Elephas maximus indicus: one gene and its partners. The protein of the gene in region 3 interacts with the protein of the main gene of each other region in a biochemical or structural test. Links are inferred from orthologs where the notes say so. Each region holds a gene or a part of one and is shown on either strand. Other genes may lie near its edges. The genes, in order: FBL, UBAP2L, PRMT1 and HABP4.

Region 1 (7,436 bases), about 12 Mb from region 3:
CTTCTGGAAGTTTGTTTTTTTTTTGTAGAGGGCCCTTCCACAAATACACTGGTTTCAAATCAGCTCTCCTCCCACAGCCTTCCCCAGTTCAGCAAACAGCAACTCCATCCTTCCAGTTACACAGGCCCAAACCCTTAGCTATCCTTGACTCCTCTCATACCCTCCATACAATCTGTGGGTTTCTACCTTGAAAATATATTCCCAATCAGTCCCACTGCTCGGCCACGTCCACTGCTAACACTGCTTCAGGCCGCCACCATGTCCTTCCTTCAGGGTTACAGTAGCAACCTCCCACTGGTGTGCCTGCTTCAACTCTTGCTCCCTTCTAGTCTCTCTTCCACACAGAAGCAAGGCCAATCCCTTAAGAAATACTAATCAGACTGTACCCCATCCCTGCTCAAAGTTTACCAAAGGCTTTCTCTCTCACTCAGATTACACTCTTACTAACAAGCTGGCTCCTGACAACTTCTACAGCCTCACATCCTACCATACAAGGCGGAAGAGGCTGGGCTGGGGTAGAAAGTGTATCCACCATTTACAGATGACAGGATGCCTGCAGGCATGCCAGAATCTCACTGAGATGCCTGGCCTAGCACCACCCCCCAATCCACCCCATCAGATCCCCAAATACTAAGAAAGGGAGTTTGGGAGGGGAGCATGGATCCACAAATTTCCCCCTTCCCAGATGACACCATCTCCTTGACATCCAAAAAAAAAAAGGAAACAAAAAGGAAAACCTGTGCTTAAAACAACAAGAACAAAAAAAGGGCCCTTCTGGCCATGGGTAGGAGATTGATCAAACCCAGTGAAGCAAGTTCTCTCATGGGGGGAGGAGAAGGGGGATGGGCCTGAGGGGAGGGGCAGAAGCTGAGACAGCAGGCATAAGGACCTGTTATGGATTTAAGTGCGTCCCCCCAAATTGTGTGTTGTAAATCCTAACCTCTCTACCAATGCTATAATCTCATCTGGGAATGAGATGTCTTTGCTATGTTGAGACAGGATTAGTGTAGGGTGTGTCTTGGGTCAATCTCTTTTGAGACATAAAAGAGCTTCAGCAGGAGAGAAGCAGAAATGGGGGATGAGAGATGCCAAGCCACATGAAGACTGCCCAGGAGCAGAAGTTCAAAGAGACAAGGACCTTCACCGCAGCCGACAGAGAGAGAAAACCTTCCCCTAGAGCTGGCACCCTGAATTTGAACTTCTAGCCTCCTAACCAAAAAAAAAAAAAAAACCTGTTGCCATGGAGTCAATTGCGACTCATAGCCACCCTACAGGAGGAGCAGAACTGCCCCATAGGGTTTCCAAGGAGCAGCCGGTGGATTCAAACTGTGGACTTCTTGGTTAGCAGCCGAGCTCATTAAAGCCACCCACTTGTGGTATTTCTGTTATAGCAGCACTAGATAGCTAAGACAGGACCCTAATTTTATTCTCCTTGAGAATGGTAACAATGAAAGCCAAGATACCAACACTAAGCAATTATGCCAAGCGTTGTTTCAATTTTACAGGCTCTCACTTAATCCTGACCGGGCGTAATTTTATTAATGAGAAAACCGAGTCTCGAAAAAGTAATGCCATTTGCCCAAGGTTACACCAAGAGATTAATAAGCAGAGCCAGAGATGAAACCTTGAATTGAGGCCTGTCTGCTGTCAAAGCCAAGACTTCCACCATTCCATCATGAGAAGCCGTGATGGGTTCATCAGAATTCGGGAAAACCGAATGAATAAAACCATTCTCTGTGACTAGCTCCTGTTCCCCGCCCCTCCCACCAGTTTTGGTCTTGTGGAGTTTCACTTCACCGCGGAGTTGGGAATCAGCAGGCCCACAATCTCCCCTCCATCCCCAGCCACCGGCTCTCGGGAAGACTAGAGAGCGGGAAAGTGACTCAGAGCGGGCTGCAGACTATCAAGCCGAGCGGAGATCCTCATCCACTCCCGGCGCTCTCCGAGAAGCCGGGTGGGGGGTCAAGGGGATGGTGGGGGCAGACAGAGAAGGCAAACGGAGAGCCTCCCACATCCAGCTCCCGGACCCAAAATCTGAGACTGCCCATCCCCGACCCAAAACGGATCCCCATAAACCACGCCCAGAGAGAGCCAAGACCTCAGGTGTCTGCATCCAGACTGAGCCAAGCGGCGCCCCCGGTCCAACATCCTGGACGCCTAATGACGGTCCGAATAAGGCAAATCCCAGTTCAGGACCCCCCAACCCCAGGCCCAAGACCCTCGACACAAGCTCGCGACCGCCGAAGCCAGTCCCAAACCCCACACCAGGAACCCGCCCCCCGGGCTCAGGATTGATCCCAGGGAGGAACCAGGCTTCCCGCCTCACACAAAACCAGAACCCCAGCCCCACACGAGACCGGATCCCAGGTTCAGAGCCCCTGCCCCCACGCCAAGGCCCCGCCCCCCAATTCCGGTCCGGCATCCCGACTCCAGCCCAGTCCCAGTCCCCGAGCCCAACCCCAACCCCGGCCTGCACCTGGCCTCATGGTGAGCGCTGAACTGCGCGGCTCCCAAGTCTGCGGCGACCCCGACTCCACGCGTCTCTGGCTTTCGCACGTGGAAAGGAGCGCAGGCGCGCGGCGACGCACGGTGGTGACGCAACCACGCTGCCCCGCCCCTCGGGGCCTCTGCGGCGCCTGTGGCCCGGCGCGCGCGCGGTGGGCGGGGATTCCCCAGGCTTCTGGCGACGACGCGCTCTTTGCTCTCCAAGCCTTTGCCTGTGATTACTTCCCTGAACAAGCTTGCTCCATCTGCGCGGCGAGCATCTCCGTAATCAGGACTCAAACGGAGACCTTCGCATGGACTGTGGCCTCTGCCCCTATTCCTAGCTCACTCTCTGAGGTTCCCCTCGACACCCAAAAAGCCTTCCCTGCCCAATTTCCACCCTCAAGAACACGGACCCCCGTTCGTATATTTGAAAATTGTGATCCTTGTATGTACCTGGGACGGTTCCAGGCTCTGGAAATTCAACAGTGAACAAAACATCAGAACCCCCGGCCTCCTGGAGCTCATCCTCGGGGTGGGAAGCGGTGGAAGGAGCGGGGACAGACATCAAACAAGTTAGTAAAACATGTTGAATGTTAACCAAAAATCAAACTTGTTGCCGTCTAGTCGATTCCGACTCAGCGACCCTATAGGGCAGAGTAGGACCGCCCCTAGGGTTTCCAAGGAGCGGCTGGTGGATTCGAACTATCAACCTTTTAGTTAGCTGCGAAGCTCTTAAGCACTGCACTACCAAATCTCAAAAATTTCAAAAGCTACCAATAAATCTGCCTGCCTTGGCTAACAACACAAATGTTAGCAGGCAATAAATGCCTTGGAGGAAATACGGACTGTTGGAGTAATATTTTTATAAGATGGTCAAGGAAATAAATGTATCTGTGACTTCTGAGTAAGGACCTAAAGGAGGTGAGGAATGAGGGACACACCTGTTTGGTGAAGGAGTTCCAGGCATGGATGTACCGCACTTTAACAATTCACCTGTTGAAGGGCATGGAGATTAATTCCAGTGTGGGGCTATTACCACTAAAATTACTATCCAGTTCGTCTACACGTTTTTCTGTGCCTACACGTTTTCATTTCTCTGGAATAAATGCCCAAGAGTGCAATTGCTGGGGCATATGATAATTGCATTTTTAATTTTATAAATTACTGCCAAATTGTTTTCCAGAGAGGCCGTACCATTTTACATTCCCACCAGCAATGTATGAACAATCCAATTTCTTAGCATTCTTGCCAGCATTTGGTGGTGGTACTATTTCTTATTTTAGCCATTTTGATAGATGTGTAATGATACCTCATTGAAGTTTTGATTTATACTTTTCCTGATGGCTAATGATGTTGAACAACTTCTCATGTGTTCATATGCCATCTGTATATCTTCTTCCATTAAATGTCTTTTCATGTCTTTTTCTCATTTTATAATGCCATCGTTTTTGCTTTTCTACTGTTGAGTTTTGAGAGTTCTTTATATATTCTAGATACTAGTCCTCTGTTGGGTATATGGTTTGTAAACATTTTCTCCCAGTCTGTAGCTTGTCTGCTCAGCCTCTTCACATGGATTTTCACAGAGTAAAATTTTTAATTTTGATGTGGTCCTATTTATCAAATTTTCTTTTTATGGATTATAATTTTGGTGTCAAGTGTAAGACCTCTGTGCCTAGCCCTACATTCTAAAGATTTTCTCCTCTGTTTTTTCCTAAAAGTTTTATGTATTTACATCTTACGTTTAAGCTTAAGATCCATTTTGAGTTAATTTTTATATAAGGTGTGAGGTTTAAGGTTAATTTTTTTTTTTTTTTTTGCCTATGTCTGTTCAGTTGCTCCAAAACCAGTTGTTGAAAAGGCTGTCTTTTCTCCATTGACTCGCTCTTGCACCTTTGCAAAAACTCAGTTGAGCATATCTGTACCATCTATTTCTGAAGTCTCTATTCTGTTCCGTTGATCTATGTGTCTGTCACTCTGCCAACACCACATTGCCTTGATTGTTGTGGCCTTCATATCAGGTACAGTGCTTCCTCCCATTTTATTCTTCTTCAGAAAAATTATTTTTAGTTATTCTAGGGCCTGTGGTTTCCATGCGAGGTCCCTGGGTGGCACAAATGATTTGCACTCGACTACTAACTGAAAGGTTGGTGGTTCAAACCCACTCATTGGTGCCATGGAATAAAGGCCTGGTGAGTGACTTCCATGAGGATTACTCTATGAAGCAGGTCTATTCTGTAACACGTCAGGTTCCTGTCAGTTGGCATTGACGTGACAGCAGTAGGTTTTTTGATTTTGGTGCCTTTCCATATAAATTTTAGAGTAAACTTGTCTATTTCTTTAAATAAAAAAACCTTAATAGGTGTAAGAATGGCATCCGGGCATCAAATCTCCTCGTCTGACTTCACAAGGAGGCAGGTAAATCATTATCAGCATCAACAGCCAAGGGCTGTGAGGTGGAGGTCAGACGTGCCTCCACCCACCAACATTTGTACCAATTCTGACGCCAGCTGTCCCTCCCACGGCGCTCGCTACTTCTCTGCTGGCTTCAGTAATTCATTGCAATGGCCACACAGAACTCACAGACCATACTCACACTTACGGGCTTTATTAGCAAAGTAGCAGGTTACACTTTAAGTGTTGAAAAAACGTTTTAAAGATATCACCTTGAGGACTAAAGTGCACCTGACCCAAGCCATGGTGCTTTCAATCACCTCATATGCATGCGAAAGCTGGACAATAAATAAGGAAAACCAAAGAAGAATTGATGCCTTTGAATTGTGGTGTTAGAGAAGAATATTGCTTATACCATGGCCTGCTGAAAGAACTAACAAATCGATCTTGGAAGAAGTACAACCTGAATGCTCCTTAGAAACAAAGATGGCGAGACTATGTCTCACATACTTTGGACATGTTATCAAGAGGGATCAGTCCCTGGAGAAGGATATCATGCTTGGTAAAATAAAGGGTCACTGAAAAAGAGGAAGACCTTCAACAAGATGGATTGACACAGTGGCTACAACAATGGTCTCAAGCATAGCAACAATTGTGAGGATGGCGCAGGATCACCCAGTGTTTTGTTCTGTTGTGCACTGGGTTACTACGAGTTGGGACTGACTGGACGGCACCTGACAACAACAATCATTTTGTAGGCATCACAAAACCATGGAGAAAGAGGCCATATAAAAGCAGTTCGTTGCACAGCAATAGGATAGGGGATAATTGACATCTTTATTAGTGCCACGGTAACCGTGCTGGTCTAATGGTTAAGTGCTACGGCTACTAACCAAAAGGTTGGCAGTTCACATCCACCAGGTGCTCCTTGGAAACTCTATAGGGCAGCTTTACTCTGTCCTGTAGGGTCGTTATGAGTCAGAATCAACTTGACAGCAACGGGTTTGGCTTGGTTTGGTTTTGGTTTTATTAGTGGTGCAGGACTGGGCATTGTTTCGCTGTGTTGCATATAAGGTTGCCGTCTTGGTTATCTAGGGCTGCTATAACACAAAAACCACAAATGGATGGCTTTAACAAAGAGAAATTTATTCTCTCACAGTCTAAGAGGCTTGAAATCCCAAGTCAGGGTTCCAGCTACAGAGGAAGGCTTTCTCTCTCTCCATGGGCTCTGGCGGAAGGTCCTTGTCACCAGTCTTCCCCGGTTCAGGAGTTTCTCAGCACCGGGACCCTGGGTCCAAAGGACATGCTAATCTCCTGGCTCTTATTTCTTGGTGGTATGGGGTCGCCCTGTCTCTTTGCTCACTTCTGTGTTTTATATCTCAAAAGAGGTTGACTTAAAACACAACCTAATCTTGTAGAACTCAAATTGACTACATCTGTGGAAAGAGACAATGGAAAAGCTCAATATCATCAGTTAGAACAAGGCCAGGGGCCGACTTTGGAAAAGACCATCAATTGCTCATATGCACGTTGAAGCTGAAACTGAAGAAAATCAGAGCAAGTCCACGAGAGCCAAAATATGACCTTGAGTATATCCACCTGAATTTAGAGACCATTTGAAGAATAGATTTGACACATTGAACACTGGTGACTGAAGACCAGACGAGTTGTGGAATAACATCACGGACATCATCCATGAAGTAAACAAGAGGTCATTGAAAAGACAAGAAAGAAAGACCAAGATGGATGTCAGAGGAGACTCTGAAACTTGCTCTCGAACGTCTAAAGCAAAAGGAAGAATTGATGAAGTAAAAGAACTTAACAAGATTTCAAAGGGCCTCTCGAGAAGACAAAGTATTATAATGACATGTGCATAGAGCTGGAGATGGAAAACCAAAAGGGAAGGACACGCTTGGCGTTTCTCAAGCTGAAAGAACTGAAGAAAAAATTCAAGCCTCGAGTTTCAATAGTGAAGGATTCCATGGGAAAATACTAAATGACGCAGGAAGCATCAAAAGAAGATGAAAGGAGTATACAGTCATTATACGAAAAAGAATTAGTCAATGTTCAACCATTTCAAGAGATGGCACGTGATCAGGAACCAATGGTACAGAAAGAAGAAGCCCAAGCTGCTCTGAAGGCATTGGTGAAAAACAAGGCTCCAGGAATTGATGGAATATCAACTGAGATGTTTCAACAAACAGATCCAGCGCTGGAGGTGATCACTAGTCTATGCCAAGAAATATGGAGGACAGCTTCCTGGCCAACTGACTGGAAGAGATCCATATTTACGCCTGTTCCCAAGAAGGGTGATCTGACCGAATGTGGAAATTATAGAACAGTATCATAATATATCACGCAACCAAAATTTTGCTAAAGATCATTCGAAAATGGCTGCAGCAGTATATTGACAGGGAACTGCCAGAAATTCAGGCCGGTTTCAGAAGAGGGTGTGGAACCAGGGATACCACTGATGATGTTAGATGGATCCTGGCTGAAAGCAGAGAATACCAGAAGGATGTTTACCTGTGTTTTATTGACTATGCAAAGGCATTCGA
Region 2 (7,560 bases), on a different chromosome or scaffold from region 3:
ATTCCTTTCCAAAGAGGACAATTTTATACTTTTCCGCTCTATAGTTAATTTTTTTCTAAATGAAACTTTATACAGGGCAATTCTAGATTGCCCAAAAGCCACTGCTGGATTTGAAGGAGAGAGAGGGAAGGCTTCCAAAGAAATATTCAAAGATTAACTGTTAGTAAAGTGAATTTCACCTTGGACGTCACAGAGAAAGCTGACTTTCCTATGGATAAATCCTTCACCAAGTTTAGTCAATAGACTGTGTAGGTTTTTTTTTTTTTTTTTGGTTTTTGACATGGTCCTTAAAAACTAAGAGTGCTACATTCGCTATCACCAAGAAAGATTTTTAAGACAATTTCAGGGCTAATTTTTAACCATTAACTCTTCCCCCTACATATATGTGCACACAAAGGCCTGTAAATATTTCAGGCTAGTACAAGACTAATTGCTACACATTAACCCCTTTTCCTAGGCTATAACCAAGTTTCAACACTTAATTTACCAAAAAAAAAAAAAGTGTTGTTTAAGTACTTCCGGATCCGAATCAAAAAGAGAAAAATTTTAAGACTGGAGAAAAACTGTTATACTTTAAAATTAGTCCTATAAGTTTCTAATATGGAAATAGCCATTTCCCACTCAACCCAAATATTGACTGCTTTCTACTCCACGTGATTTCAATTCTGGAGAATGCATTATAATGCAGATATAAACTGCAGGGACAGCAACATATACTGTACCCAATCACATGTAAATATGTTAAAAAGTCATCTCAAAAGCCACATAATTGACTAGTAAATAAAAATCTTCCTGATAATCTTCCTATTAAATTCCATTTCTCTCTTAAAGTGCTTTGAAATGTGTGACTAAGAAAATTTTACCACCTAGGTGGTAACAACACTGAAAATCAGATTAAAAGCAAGTGATCTGGGATGGGCACTTGGAGGTACAGAATTGGCTGCCTTTTAGTAGCAAGCAGTCATATACCCAGAGTTATCACAGTGGAGGCAAGGAATCTTGTTTAAAACTCTCTGATACAGAACAAAAATATTTAAGGGAAATACGGTGAGAATTATTGGAGAACAGGGTATAGTGTGAGAGTAAATACAGGTTTCAACAGAAGCGTCCTTGACTAATTTATGAAAACCAGCTACTTAAAAAAATAGCCAGAGAAATTTTTACTGAAAAAAATAAATAACAAATATTTATTGAAGAACTACTATGTGTCCAGTACTTCAAGAAATACAAAAGCAGTATGATTTGGTTACTGCCCTCAGGGAGCTTACAATCTATTTGCGAAACAATTCAGAAACTCTGAAGTTCGACTGGAGTAGGGTAAGGCTTGGTGCCTTTAAGAAGCAACTTTTTTGGAGATGTTTTGTTTAAATGACCCCTGCATCCCCTTCCCCATCAACATAAATCTAGTAAGAAAAAAGTACTCCCCAGTTGGGACACACTTAGCAAGGAGAAGCTTTAAAAAACAAAAATAAAACAGTACATTTTGGGGCCTTTCAGCACGAATTTACATGCCAGCAGTATTTCCCGTTCACAACGGAAACAATCACTGGGATAGTCTAATCTTTAAGGACAATGGTGTAGGATCTCAAAGCACTTTTATCAAACGATACAGAGCCAAAACGTTTTAGTTCTCTGGTAACGCTCATTGTCACCGACCCTCAACACCTCCCAGCAAGTCACATCAGATATCCCCAAAGCAGGATATAGGGAGTGGAAAGGTGGGTGGGAAAAGGAGACAAAAAAGGGATTTCTACCTCTAAAAATCAGAGTAAATCAAAAAGCAAAAACGGTAACAACAACAACAAAAAAAAGCCTGTTACTGTGCTGTTCTTCTTTCCACAACACCCTGCACCGGAGGTGGCTACATTTCAAGAATGGTGGAAAAGAGGCAGTCTCCAGTTCATGACATCAGTTTTCGAAACAATTTAGGGACTGTCCAGGTGAAGGGTATGAAAAAATTTGGAATTCCTATCCCATTATGAGAAGAGTGAACAAATACCCCAATGCTCTAGTGACGTCCCTTAGGCAGAATACACCCTATGGAGGCCTCCATGTCCAGCTTCCCAAATAACATCATAATTGTTTGGGGTACCCAAAACTACAGTATGGGCGCCGTGAAGCTAAAGACAGCGGTAAAAATATATTACAAAAGCTGGGGCGGTGAGAAAGATGGAAGGGTATTAAGACGAGCTGACAAAGAGGGTGGAAACGAAGAGGGGACGCAAGCCCACGCGTGGAAGATGGAAGGCTCACCCCCCTCAGCGCCACATCGGGAACCCACGGGGCCCATCGGCTCTCTACCTCCCACCCCGAACAAATTAATCCCCCGCACTCCAAACTGAGGGCCACATGGGGGAGTTTGGGGCAGCTCCACCCCATCGCCCTCCCTCCCCCCCCGCCGCCCCTAAACCAAGCCGGATCCGGATCAGAGGAGGCCCGCAGAGGGTCGGAAGATGAGGCCCCTCGGTCTTCTCCACAGGCACCGATTCGTGGACAGAGAGAGCCCTACCTCAGGGAGAGCCCAGGCCTCGCTCGCTCGCGCTCTTTCTCGCTCTCCCCCCATCAGGCTTTAGCCGCATGCCCCCCCCTTCGGCTGCCCAAGCCCCGCCCCGGCCACGCTCCCAAATCGAGGCCCCGGCTCTGGCGCGGCCCACTAGGCCGCGAACCTAACCATAAACAAAACCTCCAGCGGCCGACTCGGGAGGGGGGGGGGGGTAGGGCTCGCACGACCAGGAATCGGGGTGTACAGTCGGGGGGGACACACGGCGTGGGGGGGCCTACCGAGGGAGGGGGATCTGGCGGGGATAGGGGAGAAACGAGGGAGGGTAAAAGGAGATCGCGGATTTAAAGGGGCCGCGGACAATACCCGGCCCCGCCGCGCTGCCACTGCCGCCGCCGCCGCCGCCAACGCCGCTGCGCTCCCAACTTTACCTCAGTCTCCTCCACACTGACACCCCGGGCCGCGCCGCCCCTGTCACGTGATATAAGATTCCCTCCTCCCCACCCCCTCCCTCCTTTTCCCTCTCGCGCTCGCTCTCGCGCCTTCCCCCTCCCACTTGCCTTCCTGCGTCCCCCAGCACGTGACGCGAAAAGGGACGCGCACGCAAGCGTGCGCGCACCGCCCCGCCACGAGACACCTCGCTCCGGCTCCGCGCGTCCTCCCCGCCTCCTCCACGGCGGCCCCGCCTTCACCACGTGATGCGCGGACGGCCTCCGCTTCCTCTTACTGGCGTAGTTCCGCGTCTCGGCCGTCGCCGCTCCCGGGTGCCATTGCAACCTGAGTCACGTGCCGGGGGGGGAAGCGGGAAGGCGTCGCTCCCCTCCCCCCCCCAGCCGCCATGTTTTCGGGCCGGGTCTTTCTTGGTCTTCCCCCATAAGGAAATGGCCGGAGAGCTCCGGGAAACCCAGGTGCCGTTGCCTCGGCGGAACCCGGGCTGACAAGGCAGGGCAACGGGGTAAACCAGAGCAGCTCTGTGCGGGGTGGGGAGGCCATGGCGTCCGGCAGTAACTGGCTGTCCGGGGTGAATGTCGTGCTGGTGATGGCCTACGGGAGCCTGGTGAGGAAATCCCCCCCCATTCCTGTTGTCGCGTCAGACCCAGTAGAGACCCTCCTCTTGAGCGGTTCCCTGTCCTCATTCTCCACCCACTCACCTGCACTTTTTCTGGGCTTTGACGCCTATCCCAAGAATACCTGGGACTTAAGTCACGACTAGGATTGCCCCGCCCCTGGCTGAGAACCCTCCCGCTAAACTCCAGAGCGGCAGTCCCCATGCTTCCCTCCACAGGCGTCCCCAAATCCACCCCTATGTTTGACGGCCTTGATTTGTCCCAGGTTTTACCTCAAAGCACTTCTGAGAGCCCAAATCGGGGGAGTTGAAGGCGTGACTTTTTTTTTAAACTGTCTTTGAAAGATTCTTTTTCTCATATTTTTTTGGGCAGGTGTTTGTGCTGCTCTTTATTTTTGTGAAGAGGCAAATCATGCGCTTTGCAATGAAATCTCGAAGGGGACCTCATGTCCCTGTGGGACACAATGCCCCTAAGGTAGGTTCTTAAGGCATACGATGGGGCTGGTTCTCCAGATCTTTTAGGAGCAAGAATGAGATTTCCTTGTTTGGTGTCCGGTTACCGTCGTGCTTTTCTTGGATGGAACAATAACTGTCACCTGTGAGATCTGACTTACTGCTCCTGCTGGGGTATAGCACTTAGCGTACCCATGAACCTTAGTTTTGGCATCTGCAGAATGAAGGGCTTGCATTAAAGTTCCCAATTCTTTGTGGTAAGGTGTTTTCCAATTCATCTTAAATTACACAGTTTTTATTGTTTGGTTTCATTTTAGAATGGGGTTAGGGTGGTTAGAATTAGCCTCAGAGTGATAAAAAGGTCTGCCTTTGCAGAAGTTTAGATTTATAAGGGCCCCATAAATCATCTAATGCTGCTGTTTATGCTACAAACTGAAACCCCAAAAAGGGAAGCAAGTTATCCAAAATATACAGCATGTGAATAGCCAAATGGCCTGTTATCTTCGTTTACACTCTCTTCTTAGGTGATTGAATTCTTTTTCTTGACTGCAAGTATCTACAGATATGGTGAAATTTTTATTTCTATTTCAAATCTCTTTTCTCTATTCTGTACTTATATATCCAGGTGCTTATTTGTCATGCTTACGTATATGTGTGATGTCATTGTTAGGTGCTGTTAAGTCAGTTTCAATTCACAGCAACCCTATGTGCAACAGAACAAAACACTGCCTGGTCTTGCACCATCCTCACAATCATTGCTATACTTGAGCCCATCATTGCAGCAGCTGTGTCAATCCATCTCGTCAAGGGTGTTCCTCTCTTTTGCTGACCCTCTACTCTACTTAAAAGCCAAAAACTAAATCCGTTGTAGGTGTCTGATAGGCATCTAAAACCTAACATTTCTAATTCAGAGCTCTACCGTTTCTATCTTGTTTCTTCAGTCTTCCACTTAGTATAGGCATCCGTTACGTTTCAACCTGCTTTTGTATGGCTGTTGCCTATGATCACTGCAGTTTAGCTACACTGGTGGAATTTCCCAGCTTAAAGGCATGTGCTATGACTAGAATGATTTTCCCCTGATCCACATTTGGCCATTTCATTCATTCTTTAGATTTTAGCTTATATGTTATTTCTTCAACAGAGGAGTTTTTATGTCTTAAAGTGGGTCTCTCCTTTTATTTTCTTATAGTACCCTGGTTTTTTTTTCCTTATACCATTCACAATATTTCTGTTATGTTTGTCTGTTTAATGCCTCCCTCGTCCACTAGGCTGTAAGCTTCAAGAATGCAGGCACCACGCCAGTTTTGTTCACTGCTGTAAAGTCAGGACCTACGCGTAGTAAAACCACTGCCGTTGAGTCGATTCCGACTCACAGTGACTCTGTAGAACTGGGTGAAACTGCCCCATGGAGTTTCCAAGGAGCTTCTGGTGGATTGGAACTGCTGACCTCTTGGTTAGCAGCCATAGCACTTAACCACTGTGCCACCAGGGTTAAATACTCAATAATTCATTGTTGAAAGGACAGCAGATTAGTTGGAGAACTAGGGCTAGTATATGATTCTTCCAACTCCTAGACCAGTGTTAATCTTTTATTAAGTTGCTATTACTCCGTCACACTGTAGTTCTTTACTGACATATCACCTGGAAAGACACAAGGAGGACGTCACGGCCTGAAACCTCTACAGTGCTCGTTCCACGTGTCCTCAGTTCATCAGATGCCAATTGCCTCTCATAAGAGTGACACAGAATTGATTTACCGTATATCATGAGTTAGTCAAAACTTTTATTTCTTTATAGATAAGATCAAGATTAATTTTTCTTTAAAAAACTCTTAACTAAATTCTAAGAAGTGGAACTTTAAATTAGTAAAACGACTTTAGAAAATAATTGGATTTTATTGAGTAAGATTGCACATGTACCTAATCCATGATCTAGCAATTCTACCATACAGAAATTAATTTTTGCTTATATGTACCAGTAGACAGGTATGAGACTGTTCATAGCACAATGTTTGTAATAATTTTTTAAAAACAATCCAAATGTCCACATTCAGGTAGATAAAGATGTATTTGTGTTCTGGAATATTTTGTAGGGATGAAGATACAGATCAACACAGATGAATCTCCAAAATATTTTTGAATTAAAAATGAGTGCAAGCATGAGTGAATCTCAAGAATATGCAGAGTGAACAAAGCAAGAAAACCTGACATAAAAGAATATGTGCCATATAAATCCGTTTATGTGAAGTTCTACAACAGGCAAAAGTATAGTCATACAAAGCACATTAGTGTTGCCTGGAGCCAACAGGGGAAGGATGACTGCAAAGGAGTATGAGGGGACATTTGGGGGTAGTGAAAACGTTGCATGTCTTGACTGGGATGGTAGTTAAACAGGTGTCTTTGTTAAAACTCAGATGTACACTTAAAATGGGTGCATTTTATCGTATGTAAATTCAACTTCGATTTAAGTTCGTTTAAAAATTTAAAAGTTGTAGAGAAATTTATGTATTCGTCTGTCCATATAAAGTTCAAAACCAGGTAGAGCTAAGCAACTTATTTAGGGTGACAAGTGGAAAAAAAAGTGAAGAAAGAGAACTGTTAACAAATGTAGGTTAGGGGTGGGGGGGACATCCAAGCAAGGATGAGCACAAAGGGCTTCAAAGTCACTGGTAATGTTCCATTTCATAAACTGGTACAGGTGTTCATTTTAATGGTTCTTATTCAAAATGTACACATAATACGCATTTTTTTTGTATATGATATATTTCACGGTGGAAGTTTTAAAAAAGTTGCAAGAAACTTAAATACAAGAAATTTCCCCAGACACTGGCAGTTGTTTGGGTAACAAAGAGGTGGATATGAAACCGGTAACGGTAGTTGCTTCTGAATAAGTTAGGGATGGCACCTTTAGTGCTTTTTGAATTTTATACTACAAATATAAATTATATATTTTAAGGATGTATTTTAGTTTTTTAAAGGAGCCTTTAGAGTCCTGTGGTACACCAGGTGGGTTAATCCTTAAGCTATTATATAGGTTGTATACAGGGCCCCTTCTTATAGATTGAGAGTGTATGTGACTTCAGTTGTTATGTATTTTTTCCCAACTCAAGAAATTCTTTATAATAGCTAAGCAAGATTCTAAGTCCAGTTGAAAGTGAGAAATGTCGATGCAGGTTAATGTTGTTTTGGCAGGTTAAAGGAGCTAGATGAGAGATACGGAGCTTCGAGAGTTTATTAGAGAACCCAATCCCATTCTTTCTTAAATTTTTGCATCTTATCTGATAGTTTCAGTAGCTACAATTTTCTCTGTTTCTGTTGTCGTAGTTGTTCACTTGCTCAGCTCCATTTCCAGATTGGTGGGAAACAGAGTGCAAGGAAAACTGATTGTATATTCTTTTCTCCACTTGAACAGGATCTGAAAGAAGAGATTGATATTCGACTATCCAGGGTTCAGGATATCAAGTATGAGCCCCAGCTCCTTGCAGATGATGATGCCAGACTGCTGCAGCTGGAAACCCAGGGAACTCAAAGTATGTGGCAAG
Region 3 (7,625 bases):
GTAATCTTTGGACGTCATGTCCTCGGCGTTGGGCTTCTCGCTGCTCTCTGCCTGGCCACAGGAGACCTGGGAGAGGGCGGATGGGAGCATGGGTCAAATCTGGGGGCTCCCTGCAGCCTCTCAAACCTCCAGGTTCCTACTTCTGCCTGGAGCATGTAGACTCCACCAAAGGCTTACCACGGCAACCCTACAGCCCCCTCTGCCATTTCGCCTCCCCCAGGAACCCCAAACCCCATTTTCCTCTTCCAGGCCCCCCGAGAGCACCATCCAGGAGGGCACCCCGATACCTCAGCCACGCCTACCATCTCTCCAGTCTCTCTGCCCCCGTCTCTAGCTCAGCCCACAGCTGGGGAGGGGAGGGGAAGGCAGGGCTGGGGCAGACACAGGGCCGGGGGGCAAGTGGGGACTGGAAATGGAGTTAAGGAAGTAGCCACGGTGTTGGGGAGGCCAGAGGGGGGCTACAAACCTGGAGGGGACCGTACTAAGTGTTTTTGGGGGCACGGGATAAACTAGTTTGCAGCAAGAGGGATCATGGTTAGATTGCTGGAAAGGCTGGACCGCCAGAAAGGGCCTGTCGGTGGCAAGCTAGATTGAGTTGGAGGTGAGGTGAGAGTGGGGAGGGGTCTCACAAAAGGATATTTACTTCTTCAAGAGGCGGCTGGAGGCTCATCCCATTAGCCAAGGTGGCTACAAAATTCTAGGAGAGAGTAACAGGGAGAAAGGATTAGCTACTGGGAGTGGCTGTGGGAGGGACAGGCCAGGGTCGGGGGTTCAGAACCAGGGCTCTTGGGGAGGGGGTTCCCTGCAATTTTCCTTTTTCTTGGTGGGGAGTGGTGACAGTGTGAAGAGGCAGGGCTGTTTCAAAAAGGGGTCAGAGAAGTGGGGGAGGCGGGTAAGGGGGTTCTCCTGTCCCAGCTGTGGCTGGAGAGATGGTGGCCCGCCCCTACACTGTCCCCTCCAGCCAGGCACTTGACCGCATACCTCCCCCACCCACACCAGAGAACCTGGCCCCCCGCCGGGCACACGGGCACTGCCAGCTGTCGTCCTCCTCCCTCTTAATCCCCCCAGATTAGGTGACACTTCCTGACACACATCCCCATCCTGGGGTGCCAGGAATAGCTGGGGGGCCTGGCAGAGTATGCCCACTGGGCAACCACCACCTCTGCACACCAGTCTCTCAACTGAGAGGGTTCCAGAAAGGAGGTGTGGCACGCAGACACCCCCACCAGAGCTGGTAACCCAGCCCCTAGGCTCCTGTCCCAGGTGCAGGAGCACAAAATAAAACCAATTAGAACCAAGCCCCTCTCTATGACCAGGAAGGCAGTGTCTTGGGGAGCCCGGACAGATTCTGGAGCCTCTTAGGAAGAAGATGGACCAAGATGTGGCTCCAAGAGTCAGACCCCCATCTTTCCCATTCAGACACCCATCCCAGGCCCCGAAGCCCCCCAGGTGTGGGGCCACGAGCTGAGGCAAGCCCCGGGGAAGGTTATTTGCTCCACCTATAGAGCTCTGGGTCCAGGAGCGAGCCAAGGGAGGTGGGGGCATTGGAGTGGCCTCTGGGAGCTGTCCTCCAGTGGTATGCATCTTGGGAACTGACCCTCCACACTCCAGAAAAGGCTATAAGATAGGGGGCTGGGGTACAGACGTTCCACCAGATAACACGTCTTCCAGATGTGACCACCCTCCCTCCAGGTTCCAGGAAGGGCCAAGTCACAGGCCATGAGCCACTGGCCGGTAAGGATGCCCATAAGGGCAGCTGGTGAGAAGATTTCCGACCCAGGCCCCATTTCCCAATACATCTGACACCACCACCACCAGACAACCCTGGCCTAAGAGGCCGCGGAACACAGGACTACTCTCCCCACACGGGTACACGAAAACCAAGCCTCACTGGAAACCATTTCCCTGCACCCAGACTCAGGACACCCACACAGGGATTCAGAAAGGGGGGTCGTCCGTGGGAAATGCCACAGGAAGAGAAAGGGTTCCAGTAAGCGGTAAAGCTTTGCGCTCATACCCTGTCAGATCGCCTTCCCAGCGTTCATGTGCCCCCTTTTGCCCGATAGGGATCCAAGGAAAAGGTGGGCTTCGGGACACGCCCCGTGAAAAAGCTGTCCCTCCCACACACCCAGAAATGGCCACAAGGGGGTGCACGGCACCTTATCTGGAAGGATGGCCTCCATCCCCCCACCCAGAGAGAGGTCAAAGGGGCATGCCCCATCCCCCAGCTCCTAAAGCCCTGGGCAAGGGGAAGAGTTCAGGGGCAGGAAATTGGGGCTGGAAGGAGGCCGATTCTTCTCCTTCCTCCAATCCCAACCCAAGAGGGCTCAAAACCTGGACCTGTGCCCCAAAAGATGCCCCGGAACCTGGGGAGGGGGTTGTACAGGGTCGGAAGGCACTGAACCTCACAGGAGATCCACTACATCGCAGTGGGCCCAGGTGAGTCCCACCCCCCCGGTGTATGTCCCGATTCCCGCGGACAGGGGTTCGGGGCCTTCGACGCAGGGTCGGAGCCTCCTCCCCGCCCCCCGGCGCCCCTCCCCCGGCTGGAGGCGGGGCCTTTGTCCCGCACGTGGAGCCCGCCGGGCATCCGGGCACGGCACACCCCCTCCCCACCACCCGGTCGTGGCCACGTGGGGGCTCGGCCGGAAGCGCCCCCAGCCCGCCTCCACGTGGGTGGGGGGTTGAGACCCCTGGTTCGGCCAGCTACCGCAAGGCCCCGAAAGCTAGGGAACCTCCCACCTCAAACGATATCCCCAGATCCGGGGCATGCGGCGCCGTCTCAGTGCGGCTGGGTACCTTCAGCCCCAATTCGCCGACTCGGAGCCCCTTCCCCCACGAAGGACCTTAAAACGCAGACCCCAAACCGCTTCCCGACCCCGGCGGCGCTCCGAGCTCTCACCTCCATGATGCAGTTCGCGGCCTCGGCTGCCGCCATCTTCACCCGCAGCTACTCCTCCTCTGGCGGCCGAGACCCCCCCTTTCTCCGCTTTCCCCCGGGACCGTCTTATACCGGAGGGTCCACGGCCCGCCCACCGCAACTCCACCAAGAGATTTCATTGGCAATGGGGGCGGCCCGTCTGGAAATACCGGTTAACAATTGGGTAAAGGCGATATCGAGCAAAGCTTAGAGGCCCGCCCAGTCTAGCGTGCAGGACCCCGCCCCCTCAGGTCGAACGGGATGGGGAAGACGGCCCGTCCATCGCAAGAAAACGGAGTGGTGATTGGGCGACGTCAACTAGAAGTTCCCGCCCCTTCCCCCAGCACCGCCTCTAAGCTTCCCGGCGGGCCCCGCGCTAAGCGGACATCTTGAAACAGAGCCATCCATCACCAGAACGGCCCGCCTCTTATCGCTGCCATTGGTTTATCCAGAGGGTGACGTCATGAGGTCTTTAGCTAGCCCTCGCCAACCTCAAGAAGAACACGGCAATTGGCCCCAGAGAGGGGAGGAAAGCCGGACTTTGGGTCCCAGCAATTGGCTCAAAGGAACTGTCACTCATCTTCCTTTCGGGGGTATTCTTCCTGCCGGAGGGGACTCTAGGAGAAAAAAGGGAAACTGTTTCCATTTACCTGGGGGAAAAAACTGAAGCAGAAAGAGGCCTAGAAAGAGAGCAGGTTTGTCTGGGGTCTCGAATCAAGTCAGACGTCAAAGCATTTAACTCCTAGCCGTCTACTTAACGGTTCTAAGTATTTTAAACACAACAACCCATCTGAAGCCTCTTGGCTTTTATCCGAGCCCGTCTCCCTGCCGGGAACAGCCTTTGTCTTACCGACTCCTATACATCCATCAGAGCCCAGCTTAGACACTACCTCCTGTGGAAGCCTTCCTTGGTCTGCAGAAAAACTAGTCGTTGAATGAAGATGAATTCGCCTCTCCTGTCACCTATCCCACTAACTCTCCTCAATCCAAACTTCTCTCCAGTCCCGGGATGAGCTCGCTCTAGTATCTCTGGGTCTATACCTAGGCTGTGGTCCCCGACATTCCTTCCTCCCTGGTGAACTCTTAGGTGTGTAAGGTTTCCAACATCACTTCACACTTACAGACACTCCTAACACCCACCATGACGCCCCCGCACTGAGGACGTCCTCTCACAGCCTCTCTTCTTCCCGGATGCCCAAATCAGGACAGCTCCACCTCCCACCGAGTCACCAGCCAGGGCAGTCAGCCCCTCGTTCCCTAAGTATGTCATTCCCCAGCCCTGCCCCTCCTGCCCTGACTCTCGGCCAGTACTGTCCTCGTCCTCCTGGACCATCGTCCCAGACTCCTCCCCTACCTCTCAGCCAACAGTTTCCATTCAAGTAACCCACATCCTCTTGTCCCCAGAGCTGACCCCGCCCCTCCTCAACTCAAAGACTTCCCTTGGCTCCCAAGCACCCCCAGGACAAGGTCCCAGCCCCCTCAGCGTGGTTAGCTGCCGCGATCATCTGCCTGGCCTCAACCACCCTCCCCATCACTTCTGCCCTAATAAGCCCCTCCTACGTCCCTGAGGGAAACCCTGGTGGTGTAGTGGTTAAGTGCTATGGCTGCTAACCAAAAGGTCGGCAGTTGGAATCCGCCAGGCGCTCCTCGGAAACTCTATGGGGCAGTTCTACTCTGTCCTATAGGGTCGCTATGAGTCGGAATCGACTCGATCACTGGGTTTGGTTTTTTTTTATTTTTACTTCCCTGAGCTCACACCTTTCCCACTTTTGTGCCATTGAACACCCCCTTACTTTGTTCTCCAGGGGAGAAGCTAACACTTCTTTATCCTTCAAGACAAACTCCTTACCACTTTGTTGTTATTTGTTGTTAGGTGCCATCAAGTTGGCTCTGACTCATAGTAACCCTGTGTACCCCAAAGCCAGTGCTGTCGACTCGATTCCGACTCATAGCCTATGTAGAATAGAACAAAACACTGCCCCAATCCTGGGCCATCCTCACAATCATTGTTATGCTTGAGCCTATTGTTGAAGCCACTGTGTTAGTCCATCTTGTTGAGGGTCTTCCTCTTTTTTGCTGACCCTCTACTTTACCAAGCATGATGTCCTTCTCCAGGGACTGGTCCCTACTGGTAACACCTCCGAAGTACGTGAGACGAAGTCTCGCCATCCTCGCTTCCAGGAAGCATTCTGGCTGTACTTTTTCCAAGACAGATTTGCCACTTTGTAGGTTTGGCCAAATATGGATCAAGCTTACCAACAGGCATTAATTAGTAGGCACTAGCCACCCTTCAAGGAGCTCTGTTGGCCCAATGGTTAAGGCACTCAACTGCTAACTGAAAGGTCTGTGGTTCAAACCCTCCAGCCACTCCACGGGAGAAAGACCTGGCAATCTGCTTCCATAAAGATTTACAGCCTTAGAAACCCCATGGGGCAGGTCTGCTCTGTCACATGGGGTTGCTATGAATTGGCACCTAACAACACAACAGCCTGGGTGGAGGGTGGCCACCCGTTGCTATCAGGTGGATTCCGACTTTATGGAAGCAAATTGCCAGGTCTTTCTCCCGCACAGCAGCTGGTGGGTTTGAACCGCTGACCTTTCCAGTTAGCAGCTGAGTGTTTTACCCATAGCACCACCAGGGCTCTTCCATAAAAATTACCATAAAGATTGCCATCTATGACTTCTTTCTGGAGGGGAGATGTGAAGGAAGAGACGGGCAGGCGCTGGCTGAACGAACACGGGGAATACAGGGTGGAGAGGAGGAGTGTGCTGTCTCATTAGGAGAAGAGCAGCTAGGAGTACATAGCAAGGTGTGTATACCTTTTTGTATGAGCGACTGACTTGATTTGTAAACTTTCACTTAAAGCACAATAAAAAAAAAAAAAAAGATTGCCATCTATTCAATTCTGACTCATAGTGACCCTATAGGACAGAGTAGAACTGCTCCCTAGGGTTTCCAAGGAGCAGCTGATGAATTCGAACTGTCTACCTTTTTTAGTTAGCAGCCAAGCTCTTAATCACTGCGCTACTAAGGCTGGCCGTAAAGATTACAGCCAAGAAAACCCTAGGGAGCAGTTCTACTCTGTAACACGTGGGGTCACCATGAGTCAGAACAGCAACGGGTTATGCCACTCTTCTAAAACTTTTATATAAATTCATTCATTTAATCCTCCCAGCAGTACATTGAGGTAGGTACTATCATCACCTCCATTTTACAAGAGAGGAAACTGAGTGAGGTAAAGTGACTTGGTCAAGGTCAAACTCCTAGCAAGTGGCTGACCGTGTTCTGATCACAGGATGTCTGAAAACAGAAATTCATTTTTTAGTTGTTGCTGTTTTTTAAAATCAACTTTATTGAAGGTGTAATTCATATAAAATAATAAGCACCTAATCACATGTAATTTGATAAGTTTGATATATCACATACATAGAGAGAGAGACAGCCTCTGTCAAGGTGACTCTGACTCACGGCAACCTTATGCACAACAGAAGGAAACTTTCCCTGGTTCTCATGATTGCCAGCGTGTTTGAGTCCATTGTCATGGCTATTGTGCTAATTTATCTCAGGATAAGTCTCTCTATCCCTTGCTGGCCCGCTCCTCCACCAAACACGATGTCCTCCTCCAGCAATTATTCCCTCTTGATAATATTCTGTGAAGGGGTCCAAAGTGAGTTGGACAATGTTCGGTTATGATCCACAGGGTTTTCACTGGTTAATTTTGGGAGTGAGACTTTGTCTCACATACTTTGGATGTCTTATCAGGAGGGACCAGTCCCTAGAGAAGGATACCATGCTTGGTAAAGCAGAAGGTCAGTGAAAGAGAGGAAGACTGTCAACCAGGTGGACTGACACAGTAGCTGCAACAATGGGCTGAAGCATAACAATGATCATGAGGATGGTGCAGGACCAGGCAGTGTTTCATTCGTTTGGACATAAGGTCACTATGAGTTGAAACCAACTCGATGGCAACTAACAGGAACAACAACATCATCAATTTTTGGAATAGATCGCCAGGCCTTCTTAGTCTGTCTTAGCCTGGAAGCTCCACTGAAACCTGTCTACCACAGGTGACCCTGCTGGTATCAGAAATAGTGGTGGCATAGCTTCCAGTATCCTAGCAACACACAAGCCACCACAGTATGACAAACTGACAGGTGGTGAGACAAGTACATTACCAACCAGTATGACACCTGGGTTCTCAGTTACTTTACCCAATTAATACAAAGATCTTTATGGAGCTGAATCTAATATTATGCAATAATACATCATTGCCCTCCGATGGTACCACTGAGATGTAATTCTAAATTCAGTAAAATAAACGAATCTTTAGGAAAGTAAAATGTGAAACACAATTTGTTCATTATATAAAGCCAAAACCAGACTCATTGTCATCGAGTTGATTTCAACTCACAGTAACCCTATAGGACAGAATAGAACTGTCTTCCAGGGTTTCCAAGGCTGTAAATCTTTACGGAAGCAGATTACCACATCTTCCTCCCTGAGAGCAACTGGTGGGTGGGTTTGAACCGCTGACCTTTCAGTTAGCAGCTGAGCACTTAACCACTGCACCACCTGGACTCCACATAAGGTACAGAAATACAAAACAAATTAGGAGAAATTCAACATCTGCCATCACAGCACTGGCCAGCACCTTGATTTAAGCTTTGTGAGACCCTGAGCAAGACACTGAGCTAAACTGCTCCA
Region 4 (7,380 bases), on a different chromosome or scaffold from region 3:
TATTATTTTTTTTAAGAATCACCTGGTGATCTTGTTAAACTGTAGATTCTCATTCGGTATATGGGGGGGGCGGGAATGCAAATCCTCAGCAGGGAGGGCTTTGAACTGGAACAAACTGGTTTATAGCCCTGTTTTGAACTCTCCCAGTGTTTTCTGTGAATTTAAAGCCAATCTGGAAGATTTTAGTGTTTTATTTTATTATTCCCAATGGAACTCATATGTTAAATAAACTCAAGGTAATTTCCATTTTGTATGCAGTTCAGCTTAACTATTTCCACTGGTGGTAATAAACAACTACAGTGGAAGGGCAGCCATGCCTCACTGCTCCTTTGGTATTATAATTACTAAAGATTGTTTTCATATATTAGAAAGAGCAGTCTAACCACGTTAAACACCGTGCTGCAAATAACTCATGCTAATGTGATGGAGCTGTATTTCAGGAATGCATTTAAGGGTACAATCTCCCAGCAGAAAGTGGTGAGTTAGAACAGGTGAGGCTGCTTAGTGAGTTACCACCAGTAAATTCTAAAGTAATCAACAGCTCCATAAGAAATCCTTGGCCAGCTAATACCCAAACCAAACCCATTGCTTTTGAGTTGATTCTAAATCACAGTGACCCTACAGGACAGGGTAGAACTGTCCCATAGTTTCCAAGGAACAGCTAATGGATTCGAACTACCAACCTTTTGGTTAGCAGCCTTAATGCTTAACCACTGCATCACCAGGGCTCCCTATTTCAGTGTTTTTTAAATCTGTTCTGGGAGCCCTGGTAGTGCAGTGATTAAAGTGCTGGGCTGCTAGTTGAAAGTTGGCAGTTGGAACCCACCAGCAGCTGTGTGGGAGAAAGATAAGGCAGTCTGCTTCTGTAAAGATTTATAGCCTTGGAAACCCTACGGGACAGTTCTACTCTATCCTATAGGGTCACTGTGAGTTGAAATTGACTTTAAGGCAGTGGGGTTTATAAAGGTGTTCTGAGAGGTCCCTGGGTGGCACAAATAGTTTTCACTCAACTATTACCCTAAAGGTTGGCGGTTTGAACCCACAGAGAAGGCCTGGAGACCTGGTTTCATAAACATTACAGCCAGCAAAACCCTGTGGAGCAGTTCTACTCTGACGCACATGGGATCGACATGAGTTTGAATCTATTCAAGGGGAACTGGTTAACCCTGAAGCAACCAGAACTGGCTCACTTGGAACTGTCTTAGGAGGTTGTGATTTAGAAATTAGGACGGAGTGCCTAATTTAAGTGCATGCTTTAAGAAATTGCTAGGGTTGACTATGCTGGAGAGAAAATAGGAGGAAAGCAGGGGAATGGCCTAACTCTGGATGTCCAGTAGGAAGATGACAGGCCCTTGTCCCTAAGTAGCGATGGTTCCTTGGTGCTGTGTCTTAAAGATGCCAGAGACCACCAGTGGCAGCAGAACGTGGAACTTGTTAGAAATGCAGATTCTCGGACCCTGCCCCAGAGCTACTGACTGACTCAGAAACTCTGAAGGGTGCTCAGCAAGCTTTGTGTTTTACTCACCGTCCAGGTGATTCCGATGAAGAATCTTTGTAAGTGTCATTCGCCTTATGATGACAAGGAACCATTATGGCTCTACTTGGTCTTAAGCCTGATTCAAAATGATGATAATGTTAATAATAATGATGGCAACTACTAATCCGCTTTCTGTCTCTACAGGTTTGCCTATTCTGAACATTTCATATAAATGGGCTCCTATAATATGCAGCCTTTGTGTCTTTTTTTTTCCACTTAGCATGTTTTCAATGTTGATCCATATTATTTCACGTATCAGTACTTCATTCCTTTTTATGGCCAAATAATATTCCAACACATGACTATATACCATTTGGCTGATCCACTCATCTGTTGATGGACATTTGAGCTGTTTCCATCTCATGGTTATTGTGAATAGTGATGCTTTGAACATTTGTGTACAAGTTTTTGTTTGAACACCTGTTTTTGATTGTTTAGGGTAAAAAGTAATCTGTGCTGACTCAAAGAAGTAGAGAACCAAATATCTTAAAATCATCACATTCAACAAATATTTTTGAGAACCTACTATGACAGCTTAGAATGCTAAGTACTGGGAATACAAATTGCAATGTATCAGGCATCATCCCTTCCCTCATTTGGAATGGCATAAAATTGAATGAGTAAAACACAGACCTGGCAGCAGTTGGGACAAGGGTTCCTCTGCTGCTTGCTATGAAAAGAAAGTGAAAGCTGGTTATGAAGCACCTGAGCAAGGTCTTCTAACAGGATACTTTTAGATGCAAGAAACACAACTAAGAGTAGCTTAAGCAATGATGGCATTTATCATCTTACATAATAAGTCCAAGGTAAGAACATTCCCAGGGAGTCCCTGGTGGTGCAAATGGTTAACATGCTTCGCTGCTAACCAAAAGGTTGGCGTCCACCCAGAGGTGCCGTGGAAGAAAGGCCTGGTGATCTACTTCCAAAATATCAGCCATTGAAAACCTTACGGCGCACAGTTATGCTGTGACACGTGAGTCAGAGTTGACTCAGTGACAGCTGGTCTTAGGGAGGTTCCCTCTTGGCTAAGTCAGCAGCTCAACAACATCAAGGGTGTAGGTTTTTTCTGTCATTCTGCTGGGCCATCTTCAGGGTATCAGCCAATTCCCTCATGCTCTAATAAGGGACAGCAACTCTAGGTATAATGTTCTCACATAACAAGGACCAAAGAACAGAAGTGTGGAAGAGGGCAGATCCCTTCACCCAGTCCCTTCTTAGAAGCAAGAAAAGCTCTCTCAGAGTTCCCCTTGATGTACTACTTCTGAGGACTGTTCTACCACATTTCACATAATGAGCCTGGCAAGGGAATGGAATTACAATGTGTGATTTAAGATGAATCACGTTTGAGACTGGAAGGGGGCCCAACTTCCCCCAATACCTGAACAAAATACCAGTTCTGTAAAAATGTAAGCAGAAGAGGAATGGCTGCAGGACAGGCAGCCAAGATTGTCTCCACAGGAGCCCTGGCAAGATTTCCTGGAGGGAATCCAGTCAAGTGTTCTCCTCTGTGCACCAGGCCTCAACTGAATATCTCAAAAACAAAACAAAACTCAAACCTCAACGTGTCGAAGACTGAACTCATGATTCTCATCAAAGTGGTCTCTTCCAGTGCTCTCTTTCTTTACAAATAGCACCGCCCTTCCAGCTGCCCACTCCAGAGAAATGAGTCACTGTACCCTCCCTCCTGGTTCATCCCCCTTATCTAGGACATCACCAAGTTCTGTTGATTTACCTCCAAAATAACACTTCATTCTCTTCTAGTCACACTCTTCCTCTCCCCCCACCACACTGCCACCAGCCTGGTCCTTGTCACTATCGTCAGCTTTCCTGGACTTGTGTAATAATCTCTGCTTGGTCTCCCACACGTGTTCTGACCTCCCCACAACCTATTCCTTTACAATGCAGTTGGAGTGGCCTTTACAAATAAAACTCTGACCATGCTTAAAACTTGCTTCCCACTGCTGCTAGAATAAAGACCAAAACAAGGTCCCTGCTGACCTCTCTCCCACTCTACATTCCAATTACACAGGCTTTCCGCGAGCTTGAATGTACACTGCTCCATCCCACGCCAAAACTTTGCTCCTCGCCATCTTTCAGACCTCAGCTTAACCGTCACTTCCTAGAGAAAGCCTTGCCCCCCAAACCAAAAAGCAAACCCATTTCCGTCTGGTCAATTCCGATTCATAGCGACCCTAGAAGACAGAGCAGAACTGCCCCCATAGGATTTCCAAGGAGCGGCTGGTGGATTCAAACAGCTGAATTTTTGGTTAGCAGCCAAGTTCTTTACCCACTGCGCCATCAGGGCTCCTTCTTCGCTATAGACGCCTGGAGAACTTGGAGCCTTCCCTTCGGGACACTTTTCCCAGTTTGTAGGCTCTAAGTTCCTCGAAGACGCGGACCTGGGATCTCTGACAACATAGTGCCTGGCACATAGTAAGTGCTCAAGAAGTAGCAGTTGAATGGCTAGATAAATTTATATAATCTTCGAAGAAGACAGACTGAGAACGAATATGGACCGAGTTTCAAAGAGAACAGACGTGACAGCTGGAACCAAACCGCCTCTCCAGGCGCCCTGGACCACAAGTCTCCCTTTCTCCCCCCATAGCCCCGCCCCCTGGACCCCGCCTTCCCTAGATGAGGCGGAGGGGCGGGGCATAGAGGTCGCATGACGAGACAGCAGCTTGTCAGTGATTGGGCTACCAGGCGCGCCGGCTAGGAAAGGGGGCGTGTCCGCGCGCGCTGATTGGCCCCCCGGCGGCGGCTGGGCGGGCTGCGGCGGCGGCGGCGGCGCGGGGGTGGGCGCCGGGCGGGGAGGGGACCGGGCAGGGCAGGGAGGGCGGCGGCGGCGGCGGCAGCTGGTGGGATGGGTCCTCGCCGCCGGCTTCGCTGAGACTCGCTCGCGTGGGCTGCCCGCGGCGGGCCCGCAGTGGCCGCGGCGGCATGAAGGGCGCCCTGGGGAGCCCCGTGGCCGCCGCCGGCGCAGCGATGCAGGAGAGTTTCGGCTGCGTCGTGGCCAACCGCTTCCACCAGCTGCTGGACGACGAGTCGGACCCGTTCGACATCCTGCGCGAGGCCGAGCGCCGGCGCCAGCAGCAGCTGCAGCGCAAGAGGCGCGACGAGGCGGCGGCAGCCGGGGTCGGCAACCGCGGCGGCAGGAGCCCCGCCGGGGCCTCGGGTCACAGAACCGGCGCGGGCAGCGGCCGGAGGGAGTCCCAGAAGGAGCGCAAGAGCCTCCCGGCCCCTGGCGCGCAGCAGCCGGACAGCCCCGGGGGTGGCCAGCAGCTGCCGGGTACGCACGTCCCACCGGCACCTGGGCGCCCCCGGGTGGGCGCGGCGGGCGGGAGAAGAAGGAGAATGGGGTCACTGAGGTCACCCTCTTCAACTTTCCTCGACCCCCACTGTGAGGCTGGGGTCCCAAAAACTATGTTCCAGAAAGGGAAGGGGACTCTGGGGAATGTTGGGGTGAGCTAAGGGTCTTTGTGGCAGTGGAAAGTAGGAAAGAGGACCAGAATGTGGGGCGGGAGGTTCCCACCGCTTCTGGCCTTTCCCAGCCCCTTCTGTGGGGGAGGGGGGAGATAGGGGGGTCTCGAAACCCCGGAAGTGAGCCCTTAGATCAAGTTGGATAAAGTTGAGGAATATTGCTGGGGCGTGTGAGGGCTGCTACCCCGGGGGTCTCACATCAGAGCCAGCAAGGAGCCCAGCCTCTGCAAGATTGTGCTTTGGAGGCAGAAAGAGAAGCGTAATGGGAAGGAGAGAGGGGAGTCCCTCTTAGATGAGGGTGGCGGGGAGAGAGCACCCAGCCCGCTGGAGGTGGTGGTGAGAGACTGGGATGTGTGGAAAATGGTAGGGAGGCCGGAGTGAGGGGCTGCCTGGCCTCGGTGATGGAGTGAAGGCCTGGTGACCGCGTGGGGCCCGGCTGTGACGTCAGGGCCGCGAACGAGCGAGCGTGCTGGTGAGGTGGCCGCGGGATCCCCGGCTCCTTGCAAGCTCTCTTCATTTAACGCATCCCCATACACAAGCTTCTAGTAGTCTGCAGGCATCGGTTTTTAGTGCATCTGGTACTGTTGTTGATGGGATGTGTAACTTGTAATTAACTCAAGGCTGCTTTAAGAAAATCCTTTTTAACCTTTTCAACGATATTCAAGGCTCCCTCCTCCCTGTTTAGCAAGAAGGGCCAGTGCAAACCTTGTGCACTACTGTGTGTGTACAGGGAGTGTACTTCTGAGGTCATTTCTCTCCCTGCAGCTGACAACAGTGGCATAATCAGCAAGATGCCACCTGTGTTTCCTCTGTTTTCCTGAAATAAGGCAATGGTCAGTTCCAAGGTTTGCAGAAAAATGCTGTTAAGATTGAGATGTGTAGTTTGACCTCTCCACCCATCACATGGCAGTGTATTCAACTGGGTTTATTGACTTGTTCCACTTGATAAAAACTAGCTACCCTGAAAGAGCACCTGCTGGTTCAAATATTGGGGCTTTGACTTGTGGACGTAGGTAATGATTTACCTTCTTTATCTGTGTCCAGTTCGTAGTCGTCATTTGAGAATCAGAAAATTAAGTCAATACAATAAAGGTGTTAGAAGTTAACAAAAATGCTGTTGGGTCACAAGGCCTCCTGATAGGCCAGGAAGTTCATGGGCTTATTTATAGACAGCAAGACTTGAGCTATAGTTTATGTTTTGTTTTATGTTCTCTGTTTTCTTTTACATTTACTTAGGGGTAAATATAGTAATAAATTAAACACTTAGGAAGGCTAATCTTTTCTGCTCCCTGTTTCTAACAGTGGTGTGGAACTGCATTTAGTGATATCTACTGATGTATTTTTTCTTAGGCCTCTTACAAATGAAACATCATCTTATAAAAAAAAGTAAACAGCTCAGAAATGTATAAAGTGAAAAGCCCCTATTTTCCCTCCTGTTAACAACTTGTATCTATAGTTGCACAGAACTTTTTTTCCTTAACTTATATAAACAGTTGCAAATGGCTACCTTCACTTGACATTGTAGCCTATTACAATCTGTAGTTGATTTTGTAGTTAGAATGAAAATCTTATCATTCTAGTTCTTTTTCAGTGTATATTATTGGAGGAGCAAACAGCTAATTAATTCCTGTGTATGTAGTTACTGGACTAAATTTGTCTGTAATGGTGTTAGCTACTCTCTCAAAGCTTTGTAGCCCTAACTGACATAAAGTACTATATTTTTCTAATTCAGAATTTTTAATTTAGTTAGAATATTATAGGTGAATGCTTAGTGTGGACAAAAATCAAAGTTTAAACGTGTTCAGCCATGTTTAGGAACATTTATTAATCCCCAAAGGATGTAGAAATCGTAAGATTCTCCCATGGAAACTTAGGTTTTTAATATCCTTGACTAGCCATCTAGCAATGCACCCAGGCCCTGTGTTCTGAACCTTGCTAAATTGATTCATTCTTCAAGTCTCCAGAGGCTGCGTCAGCTCTGCTTTCCTAGCCTTTCAGAACTGTGGTCTTTGAGCCAAATCTCAGTTTTTATTTTGCAGGAACCTCACTGTAAATTTCATTGTTTTTGGTCCCTTCACATGGGCTTGGGCTGAGGTCTGAGATGGCACTGGTCGTGCCAACTGCTTACTGGGAAGGGCCAGTGATGTGCAGTGTTTGCGGTATCCACTTGGAGCCGCTGATCCAGCAAAAGAAAACAAGCCAGCTTCAGCCGCAGTCTTGAGCTCTTAATACTAAATTGTGAGGGGGAAGAAAAGTGGACCCCTGTTTTCCTTTGTTTCTTGTATTTTGGAGAGAGAATGAAATGTTTTCAGGGAGTTGGCAATATAATGATCCTAATAAGTAAAAAAAAAAAAAAAAAAAAG

Evidence for each region.
Region 1: of the proteins of PRMT1 (region 3) and FBL, one has a biochemical effect on the other in vitro, tested with the Homo sapiens proteins (2 studies listed by BioGRID). The link is inferred for Elephas maximus indicus from reciprocal best matches to the Homo sapiens genes PRMT1 and FBL.
Region 2: of the proteins of PRMT1 (region 3) and UBAP2L, one has a biochemical effect on the other in vitro, tested with the Homo sapiens proteins (2 studies listed by BioGRID, with this or other methods). The link is inferred for Elephas maximus indicus from reciprocal best matches to the Homo sapiens genes PRMT1 and UBAP2L.
Region 4: the proteins of PRMT1 (region 3) and HABP4 form a complex in vitro, tested with the Homo sapiens proteins (2 studies listed by BioGRID, with this or other methods). The link is inferred for Elephas maximus indicus from reciprocal best matches to the Homo sapiens genes PRMT1 and HABP4.

The regions. Positions count from the first base shown.
Region 1 is NC_064829.1:111,675,907-111,683,342, reverse strand, and holds the start of FBL (rRNA 2'-O-methyltransferase fibrillarin), read right to left. Parts: upstream 3,013-7,436; coding exon 2,941-3,012; intron 2,637-2,940; coding exon 2,477-2,636; intron 1-2,476.
Region 2 is NC_064821.1:191,992,777-192,000,336, reverse strand, and holds the start of UBAP2L (ubiquitin-associated protein 2-like), read right to left. Parts: upstream 3,003-7,560; 5' UTR 2,932-3,002; exon of another isoform or gene 2,867-2,931; intron 1-2,866. Other genes in the region: C3H1orf43 (protein C1orf43 homolog), read left to right, coding at 3,492-3,557, 3,940-4,041, 7,431-7,548. UniProt on the Homo sapiens protein: Recruits the ubiquitination machinery to RNA polymerase II for polyubiquitination, removal and degradation, when the transcription-coupled nucleotide excision repair (TC-NER) machinery fails to resolve DNA damage.
Region 3 is NC_064829.1:100,126,597-100,134,221, reverse strand, and holds the start of PRMT1 (protein arginine N-methyltransferase 1), read right to left. Parts: upstream 3,009-7,625; 5' UTR 2,939-3,008; coding exon 2,903-2,938; intron 698-2,902; coding exon 644-697; intron 400-643; exon of another isoform or gene 306-399; coding exon of another isoform or gene 288-305; intron 67-287; coding exon 1-66. UniProt on the Homo sapiens protein: Arginine methyltransferase that methylates (mono and asymmetric dimethylation) the guanidino nitrogens of arginyl residues present in proteins such as ESR1, histone H2, H3 and H4, FMR1, ILF3, HNRNPA1, HNRNPD, NFATC2IP, SUPT5H, TAF15, EWS, HABP4, SERBP1, RBM15, FOXO1, CHTOP, MAP3K5/ASK1, MICU1 and NPRL2.
Region 4 is NC_064827.1:108,222,147-108,229,526, forward strand, and holds the start of HABP4 (intracellular hyaluronan-binding protein 4), read left to right. Parts: upstream 1-4,374; 5' UTR 4,375-4,477; coding exon 4,478-4,826; intron 4,827-7,380. UniProt on the Homo sapiens protein: Ribosome-binding protein that promotes ribosome hibernation, a process during which ribosomes are stabilized in an inactive state and preserved from proteasomal degradation.